2 linked regions of the Macaca fascicularis genome follow. The protein of the gene in region 2 interacts with the protein of the main gene of each other region in a biochemical or structural test. Links are inferred from orthologs where the notes say so. Each region holds a gene or a part of one and is shown on either strand. Other genes may lie near its edges. The genes, in order: MYCBP and AKAP1.

Region 1 (4,435 bases), on a different chromosome or scaffold from region 2:
CAGCCTGGGTGACAGAGCGAGACTCCGTCTCAAAAAAAAAAAAAAAAAATTAAAAATTAGCTGGGCATGGTGGTGCATGCCTGTAGTCCCAGCTACTTGGGTGTCTGAGGTGGAAGAATTGCTTGAACCTGGGAGATTAAGACTGCAGTGAGACGTGACTGCACCACTGCACTCCAGTCTGGGCGACAGAGACCTTGTCTCAAAAAAATATATATATATGTAAATTAAATTTGTGAGGCTGGGCACAGTGGGTCATGCCTATAACATCAACACTTGGGGAAGCTAAGACAGGAGGATCACTTGAGGCCAGGCATTCCTAGGTGACAGAGTGAGATTGTCTCAAAAAAAAATAAAAAGTAAAAACAAATAGAATTGTATAAAGCACCTGTGTTTGAAGCTGAAAATCAAATTTTTAATAAATCACGTCAATACTGTGTTGGCTGATGTTATTTAGGAGCCTGGAAATCTAAGGAGATTAAAAGGTTAAATTCTAGTGGAGGCCAGGCGCGATGGCTCACACTTGTAATCCCAGCACTTTGAGGGGCTGAGGCAAGGTAAGGAGTTCAAGACCAGCCTGGCCCACCTGGTGAAACCTCGTCTCTACTAAAAATACAAAAAATTAGCTGAGCATGGTGGCGCATGCCTGTAGTCCCAGCTACTTGGGAGGCTAAGGCAGGACAATCGCTTGAACCCGGAGGTGGAGGCTGCAGTCAGCTGAGATCATGCCGCTGCACTCCAGCTTGGGCAACATCTTCTGTGTAGTCAGTTACCTCCTACAACTGTCATTTTTCTGCCTTTTACCATTCAATCTTTCGCTTGCTCCATCCAACCACTCTGGCCTCCTTATACTTCCTGAAACTCTTGACAGATATTGTTTCTTTCAGGTTTCTGCTCAAAAGTACTTAAGAAAGGCCTTCCCCCCACCACCCTATATAAAATGACACACACATCCCACCTGTCACTTGTTTTTTTTTTTTTGAGAAAGAGTGTCACTGTTGCCCAGGGGCACAATCACAACTCACTGGACCCTTGACCTCTTGGGTTCAAGTGATTCTCTCACCTCAGCCTCCAGAGTAGCTAAATTACAGGCACACACCATGCCCAGCAATTTTTTCTTTTAAGAGACGGGAGTTTTGCCATGTTGCCCAGACTGCTCTTGAACTCCTGGGCTCTAGCAGTCCACCCACCTCAGCCTCCCAAAGTGCTAAGACTACAGGCATGAGCCACGTGCCTGGCCTCACCTGTTACTCTTTATCCCTAACTTCTGCTGTATTTTTATCTGTAACACTTACCTCTAGCTGACACTAGGTATTTATGTATTTGTCTCCCTCAACTAGGACATAAGCTTATGAGAGCCGAGACTTTTATCCTCCTCTGCTTATCTCCAGTGTGCAGAACAGATGCCTGAGTAAAATGATTAAATGAAAGAAATGAACTTATGGAGTTTTTAGAGGGAATGACATTCAAAGCATCTGTGACACTTCCAGAGACAACATAGCACAGTACTTTCAGAGTAGTCCCTTAATACTTGCTGAAGTTTATTTGCAAAGAGGTAAACTATTATCTGAACCCCAAATAGGTAACAATTCAAAATTACTAGCCTGCTTTCTGCTAAGACCCAGGAGTTATGCTCCTAGAATTTTCCTCTAAACTTTGCTTCTGTCCAAAGAGCAGTTACCTACTTATTTCCCACACTTCCCAAACTTCCTAGTTTGACCCAAGTCCTGATCCCTGCCAACAATTCCATTCTACACCCTTGAAAATCCCAGTGAGTTAAGTGACATAGCAGGCATTTAAATTACTGTTAAGCTAATGAAGTAAACTGTACCCTACCCCTTGGAATCCTCCTGTTTCCGACACTTTACTCATCTACTTACTTAGATCTCGAAGCCACGAATGAAGAGATACAGCGTTAACAGTAAGTTTTCATTTTAAAAAGTGAAAACAATGTAACCATTTTGATATGCCCTCGAGCTCTTTAAACTGTAATTCTACTTTAACTATGAAATATACACAAAATAAAAATTGACACAGACTAAGGAATGGGGGCTGAAAAGCCACAGCCAAATTGGCCATGCATCTCCTACTTCGGGGATTAGGCTCACTCAACTATTTCATAGCCCACTTTGAAATTCGGTCATTTTTCCAGTTGCTCTTTGTTGGAGGGAAACTGTTTCTTAACAAGATTCTGAGGACTCCACAAAAACCGTAAGGTGGGAGGAATTGGGATCTGAAGGTCTTTGGCAAACATGTCCACTGCGGCTGCTCGAGGCAAAGCAACGGAAGTTGAAGAGACTTTGCAACAGCTGCAAGAGTTTCACTCCCAGTGCAGAGAAGGGTAGCGTAGCTAGGCTACCTCACCCGGGCGGCCTCCAGCAGCCAGGTCCCTACCGAACCCCGAGGCCCACCTCGCTGGACCCCGGACGGGCCCCATCTGTTTCCCCTCCTTCCCCACGCTACGGCCCGCTGGGGAAAGGGGCAGCGCCGGGGAGCACGACGAGGGCACGAGGTACCCTCTCCTAGCCCAGGCTCACCCTTGGTCAGCGTGTCCAGCACCCCCGACTTCTCCAAGTACCTCCGGAACTGCTCACGCTTCGAGTCGGCGGCCTGAAGAGACACCGGGGGTCAGTGGCCAGAGCCCGGGAGCCGAGCAGGAAGAAGGTGCTAGGAGTCTGGCAACCCCGCCTCCGCCTCGCTACCTCGGGGCCCTCCCGCCCAAACCTGCGCGCGCGACCCCACTCCCACCCAGAGCCGACCAACGGCTTGCTACCGCCCGCATGCCCCCAGCCACGCCGCGCCCCCCTCACTTTGTAATGGGCCATAGTGACAGCGGCAGCGGCGTAGCTGGCGCCGGAGACCGCGACTGGCGGGTTGGGAGCAGAACTGCTCATGCGCGGAAGGGGGCGCGCGGCTGCGCACTTGCGAACCACGGGCAGGGATCGCCGGGGTGTGGCCTGTTTTCATGGCGACCAGGACGCTCTGCATCCCCCGTTGCAGGCTGAGCCGAGGGAGGCTGCGTATGCCCGCCCCTCTGGCTGTTGGAGCCGCACCTCTTCCTCTTCCGGTCCCCGTAGCGATTCGTTTTCTTTGCAAGAGGTGAGATTTTGGTAACTCTGTACTGGCGTCCGGAGGCAGGGCCCGGGAGCACTGGGACTATTGCGAGAGGAAGGATCGCCGCACGGTGGTAGCGAGCTCATTTTTCTCATCTGGGACCTCGGAAACTGTGGTGACCCATAGGTGCTGGACTTTTTGGCTCTCTTCCTGAGAAAGTGCTCACGACTTTGCAGTAGCTGAGGAGGGTGTTTAGAATCATGTATTTTGGTTCCAGCTTTTATCTTTGGAGTCTCCTTGAGTCGTGGCTGACTTGATGTGGGCTTCTGGAGAATGAGCAGTAACGAGCTTGCAATAGCTTTTGAGCGCTGTGCGCCAGGCACTGTAGAAAACACGGGTATTTTAAATTTTAATCCTCACAACACCCTTGTAGGGTGCGTACTGTTAATTAAGTGGAGAGGTTAGATGTCCAGTGAGTAGAGCCGAGTCCAATCCGGGCAATGAATCACGATGCTATGAACTGGTGAAAGAAAGCCACGGATCTTTTTAAGATTTTATTTACTAGGTAGCAACATGTGATTATACTCGAGACATATCAGGATGCAGTCTAGAAGGAAACTACGTGATTGTGTTTCAGGGGCAAACAAAATTAACCCAGTGTCCAAGGTGGAATTATGTAGATGAAGAACCGTGTCCTAAGGCTGTGGTCTCTTCAAAGAGAAAACCTGATCAAACCATTTAGCCCCAGTTCTGAACATGTGATATTCCCAAAATCAGTTACACACATTCGAAAGAATATCATTAAAAAAAAAAAAAATCCTGATTTGACAACCTTATGTCTTTGGATTTAGAAGTGTTCTTTCACAATCTAGAATTAGAGCTGTTTTTCCCTTGCTGAAATGAGTTTGCCGTCTGTCTTAACAGCTGGTCTTTAGAGCTGCCCATATCTATTTTGTCCGTGCCCCACCACCACTAGGCTACTTCTCTGATAATATATACAATGTCTAAAAGCCAACCGCTGTCTAGATCTGAAGATCTGTGGGAACCCGCCTACCAATGAGATTGTTCGTTAGGGACACTACGTGATTTGGAGGACACACAGGATTATTACAGGTTCTGACCAACCCTAGCTCAAAGGACAGCCCTCCCAAAGAATCAGCTGTGTTTGGAATGTCAAGTGATTGAGACTTTCCTTGTGAAGGAGGAAGGGTTCTGACTATGCCCTTTCTGAACTGGCCTTTGAGGTTACCTTTAGGAGGTGACCCCTGGTTTTCATGTTCTGTAGAGGAACCCCATGTAGCTCTAAGCCACCGCGGTTTCCAATCGCAGTTAGCTGGCAAGGAGAAAGCTGTTTGGGGTGACTGCCTCATGTTGTTCTCTCCAT
Region 2 (3,806 bases):
TGATTCGTGCAACTCTGAACACTCTTCTGGCTCAAATACTCCCTTGGTCAAAAGACGGAGCCAAAGCTCATGGCCAAGAAAACCCAATGGGAAAAGGACTCTGCTCCCGACCTGGGCTGTTTCACTCTCGCTCAAGAGTGTGCCAAAGGGACTGTCACAAAAAAGAGGGTCCAGATCAGCTCAAGAGAAGTGGCCCTGGCTTAAATATGGATGACTCAATCACCAGAAAGAGATCACTCCTGAGAGTCTACCAACTAGGTTACCTTCCACATGGTTTCTCCAAACCCTGGGCATAATCCTTTGCCAAGTAACCCATACACTGGATGCAGAGAACTAAGGCCCAAGAGATCCTGCTCCCAGCTAAGGAAGAATCACCTTCAAAGTGACATCCCCCCTTAACCTAGGCGCTTGGAACAGGATTCATGCAGGGAAAAGTACCCCTTCTAGGGGAAGACTGCTTGGCTAGGGAAGCATAACAGGCTGACAGGGGTTGGGGAAGGGGGCGGGGAGCTCTGCTCACTCACAGCCCCCAGCCTCTGTCCCACAGAATGGGACTGGCTAACACCTGCCATCTCGATGGCGCCCAGCAGTGGCTCAGAACCACACCAGGACTCTAGCAGGCTGCACTCCAAGGCCAGCTGCCAGCTCCCTCAGTAGGGTGGTCCCTGGACCCCTCTCAGCTTCAACTTTCTCACACACAAAGCAGAGCTGACATGAGGGTGCATGCGAGGCACTACCCTGGTGCTTGGCACCCACTGCATGCTCGTGGACAGTATTACCTCATTTCCACCCGCCATCTCTAAACCTCCCTGCCCATCACCATGGCTTAGGTTCAAGCCTAAACTCAACAGGTCTGAGTAGCTACTACTATCCATCTAGAGTAGGCAGACAAGGCTGTGGGGCTTGTTAATTCAGCCGAGGGGCAGTAAGCAAAGGGAAACTCCTTTATTCTTAAAAAATAAATAAAACAAAAAACACCCATTTTAAGATGCAATATTTTAAGAAACATTTAAACATCCAGAGATTAGGATGCATCATATAGTATCTGGCCTTCTATAATCATGACTGGCAGCACTTTTGTCCTTCCAAGGTACATAAAAACAGTAGTGTCGCAACAGCATCTTGGAGGTGACAAAACGTAGTGTGTGGTACAAACGAGATGCTGCCGAAAGTAGTAAAATTCCCGATCAAGATTCCCAACCTTCCTGGAGCTGAAATGGGAGGGAATGGCTCCAGGACAAACGTCAGAGAGGCACTGGGATACTCGTGGCCTCTCTCCATGAGATAAATGAAAACACCCCGGGGCGGCTGCAGAAGCAGGGTCAGGAGCTGCTGACCTGTAAGTTAGCGGTCTGAACTGTCTACGCTGGGGTCAGCACTCGAAAAACCCAGGACACCTCGTTATCAAAGTGCCCCGCTTTCCCGGGGTGGAGCTGCAACTGCACAGAAAGAAAATGGCTGAGGCTCTCTGCAAAGGTGACAGCGACAACTCAGGAAGCTCGAGCCTCCCACAAGTATTTAAAGCTGTGGCCATTCTTTGGGCACTTACCCTGTAAGAGCTTCTGGAGAAGGAAAGCAGGTGAAGACATGGGAACAAGCACATGATTAAAAGGAAATAAACCATTCAAAACACTCACACCCATACTTGGCACTCAAGGGAGGGAAAGCTAAGGAGACCTCTCCATTAAAACACACACACACACACACACACACACACACACACACACACACACAGAGGTTAGTGTTTAAAAAAGAAAAAAATGGGCTGGGCATGGTGGCTCACACCTATAATCCTAGCCCTCTGGGAGGCCGAGGGCGGAAGGATCACTTGAGCCCAGGAGTGCGAGACCAGCCTGGGCAACACAGGAAGACTCCATCTGCACCCAAATAATAATTTTTTTAAAAAAAGAAAAAAAGGCACACTAATGTTAATCAGTGAGCCCAACTTGGAGCTGGTTCCTTGGGAAGGGCTCACTGGGGAAGGTCACCGGCTGAGGAACCAAGTGACAGCTCCCAAGGCTTGGGGTTTCAGGGCAATCTAACTGCTCAGTTACCCACCAGCTTTATGCCGTGTCCAGCTCTCTGCAGGTTGGGACAAAGAGCTGAAGGGCACCATGACTTTGCTGCACAAGTAGCAGAAGGGAGAGGCAGACTGGCGGCCTTTCTCCAAGAAATACTGGGAGCGCCCCATCCTCTAAATGAACCCGAGACCCTCCTACCTCCTGAATGATCTGCTTCCACATCCATGGTCCATCCATCCTCAGCCCCCAAGTCTGACAACTCCCCCTTCAGTACCCCATTGCTGAAGGGCACAGTACTTTCTGGCAGTGGCGGCGTGATGGCCTTGTCTCTAGGGCTTGAGCTGGTCTCTGTGCAAGAGTCTTCAAGCCCTGAAGTGCTGAGAGAATCCGAGCAGTGTCCTGGGGAAGCCACCAAAGGGACACTTTGGCTGCTGTCTGACATGCAAGTGACACATGTGGCATCTTCCACCAGGATGCCCGCCCGGTCCGGCGACTCTTCACCAGGAGTGGTCGGTGGCAGGCAGGGGGTCAAGGAGATGTGGTGTGCAGAGATCTTTGGTTTACTGTCCTTGATGGGGCTGGACAGAGGGCTGTTCAGGCAGCTCACGTAGGTCTTTGGTGGTGCTGAGCCCTCTGCTGGTAGGCCTGGCGAGGGGAGGGCAGCATCCGACAGGGCAGCAGCTGCCTCTGCTGTGGCAGGTTCCCCAGTGTCGGAGCCCAAGACAGTTTGCTGGTGAACTGGGACACAGCTCTCTTCCTCCTGCCCTTGGAGCTGACTGGCCTGATACACACAACCTGTAACCTTGCCCACCGCGGTGGCCAGCACCTGTTCGGTTGCTTCCGAGATCACTTGGGAGATTATCTGGAAGGCAGCCTGCTCAATCTCCTCATTTCTATCCAAGCCCTCCCCATTTCTATCCAAGCCCTCCTCATTTCTATCCAGACCCTCCTCATTTCTATCCAAGCTCTCCTCATTTCTATCCAAGTTCTCCTCATTTCTATCCAAGCTCTCCTCATTGCCCAGTTCTCCCTCGACATCTCTGTCCTGGGCTTTGGCATCTGTGATTGGGGGTGCTGGTGCCGCATCGTCCTTTGGCAGCTCTGTGTGAGCCGACTTGATGAACCTACTTGGCAACTTCTCTGCTACATACTCTTCCTCCTGCACCGGCCCCACCTGGGATGAGCTGCTCTTCCCCTTCTCTTCTTCCCCTTCTAAAGAGGCTAGGTTGGGGGCCTTGCTGTTCTCCAATTCCAAGACATGCTCCTGAGACAATAGATCTTCTTCAAGCACCTTTTCCCCCAACACAGCATCACCGGTCCCTTCGGCCCCACCTGTCTCTCTTGCCCTCTCCCCAGAGCCATGCTTCTCTGGGGGCGCTGCAGGGTAGCCTGGCTGGCCCCTTCCTGGCACCCTACTGAACGGGGACTCTTGCTTACACACCTCAGCTGATTTGTGGGGGAATAGTACACCCTTTGGAGATGAAAGGGGGCACTCTAGAGGAATCAATTTGGTTTCACCACCTGTCAGGGCTAGCTCCAGCTTTGCACTGTTGTCTCTGCATGTTCCTGGTCGCAATCTCATGTCTATGGTATTAGGAAGACTGCCCGAGGACTCTGATCTTCGGCGAGGTGGGTGTGCCCGGAGCAATGCTGGTGGCTCTGCAGGCAGCTTGCTCATGGTGGACAGTTCCTTTTCTGGCGGCTCTGTGACGCTGGGGGGCATGGACACCACTTCGGGACAGACGTCTTCCATGGGAAGAGGTTCTTTGATGGCAGAGTCAGCCC

Evidence for each region.
Region 1: the proteins of AKAP1 (region 2) and MYCBP form a complex in vitro, tested with the Homo sapiens proteins (2 studies listed by BioGRID). The link is inferred for Macaca fascicularis from reciprocal best matches to the Homo sapiens genes AKAP1 and MYCBP.

What each region holds. Positions count from the first base shown.
Region 1 is NC_088375.1:196,053,727-196,058,161, reverse strand, and holds the start of MYCBP (C-Myc-binding protein), read right to left. Parts: upstream 2,894-4,435; 5' UTR 2,892-2,893; coding exon 2,808-2,891; intron 2,608-2,807; coding exon 2,535-2,607; intron 1-2,534. Other genes in the region: GJA9 (gap junction alpha-9 protein), read right to left, coding at 4,074-4,435. UniProt on the Homo sapiens protein: May control the transcriptional activity of MYC. Stimulates the activation of E box-dependent transcription by MYC.
Region 2 is NC_088390.1:49,610,348-49,614,153, forward strand, and holds part of AKAP1 (A-kinase anchor protein 1, mitochondrial), read right to left. Parts: coding exon 2,220-3,806; intron 1,440-2,219; exon of another isoform or gene 1,338-1,439; intron 1-1,337.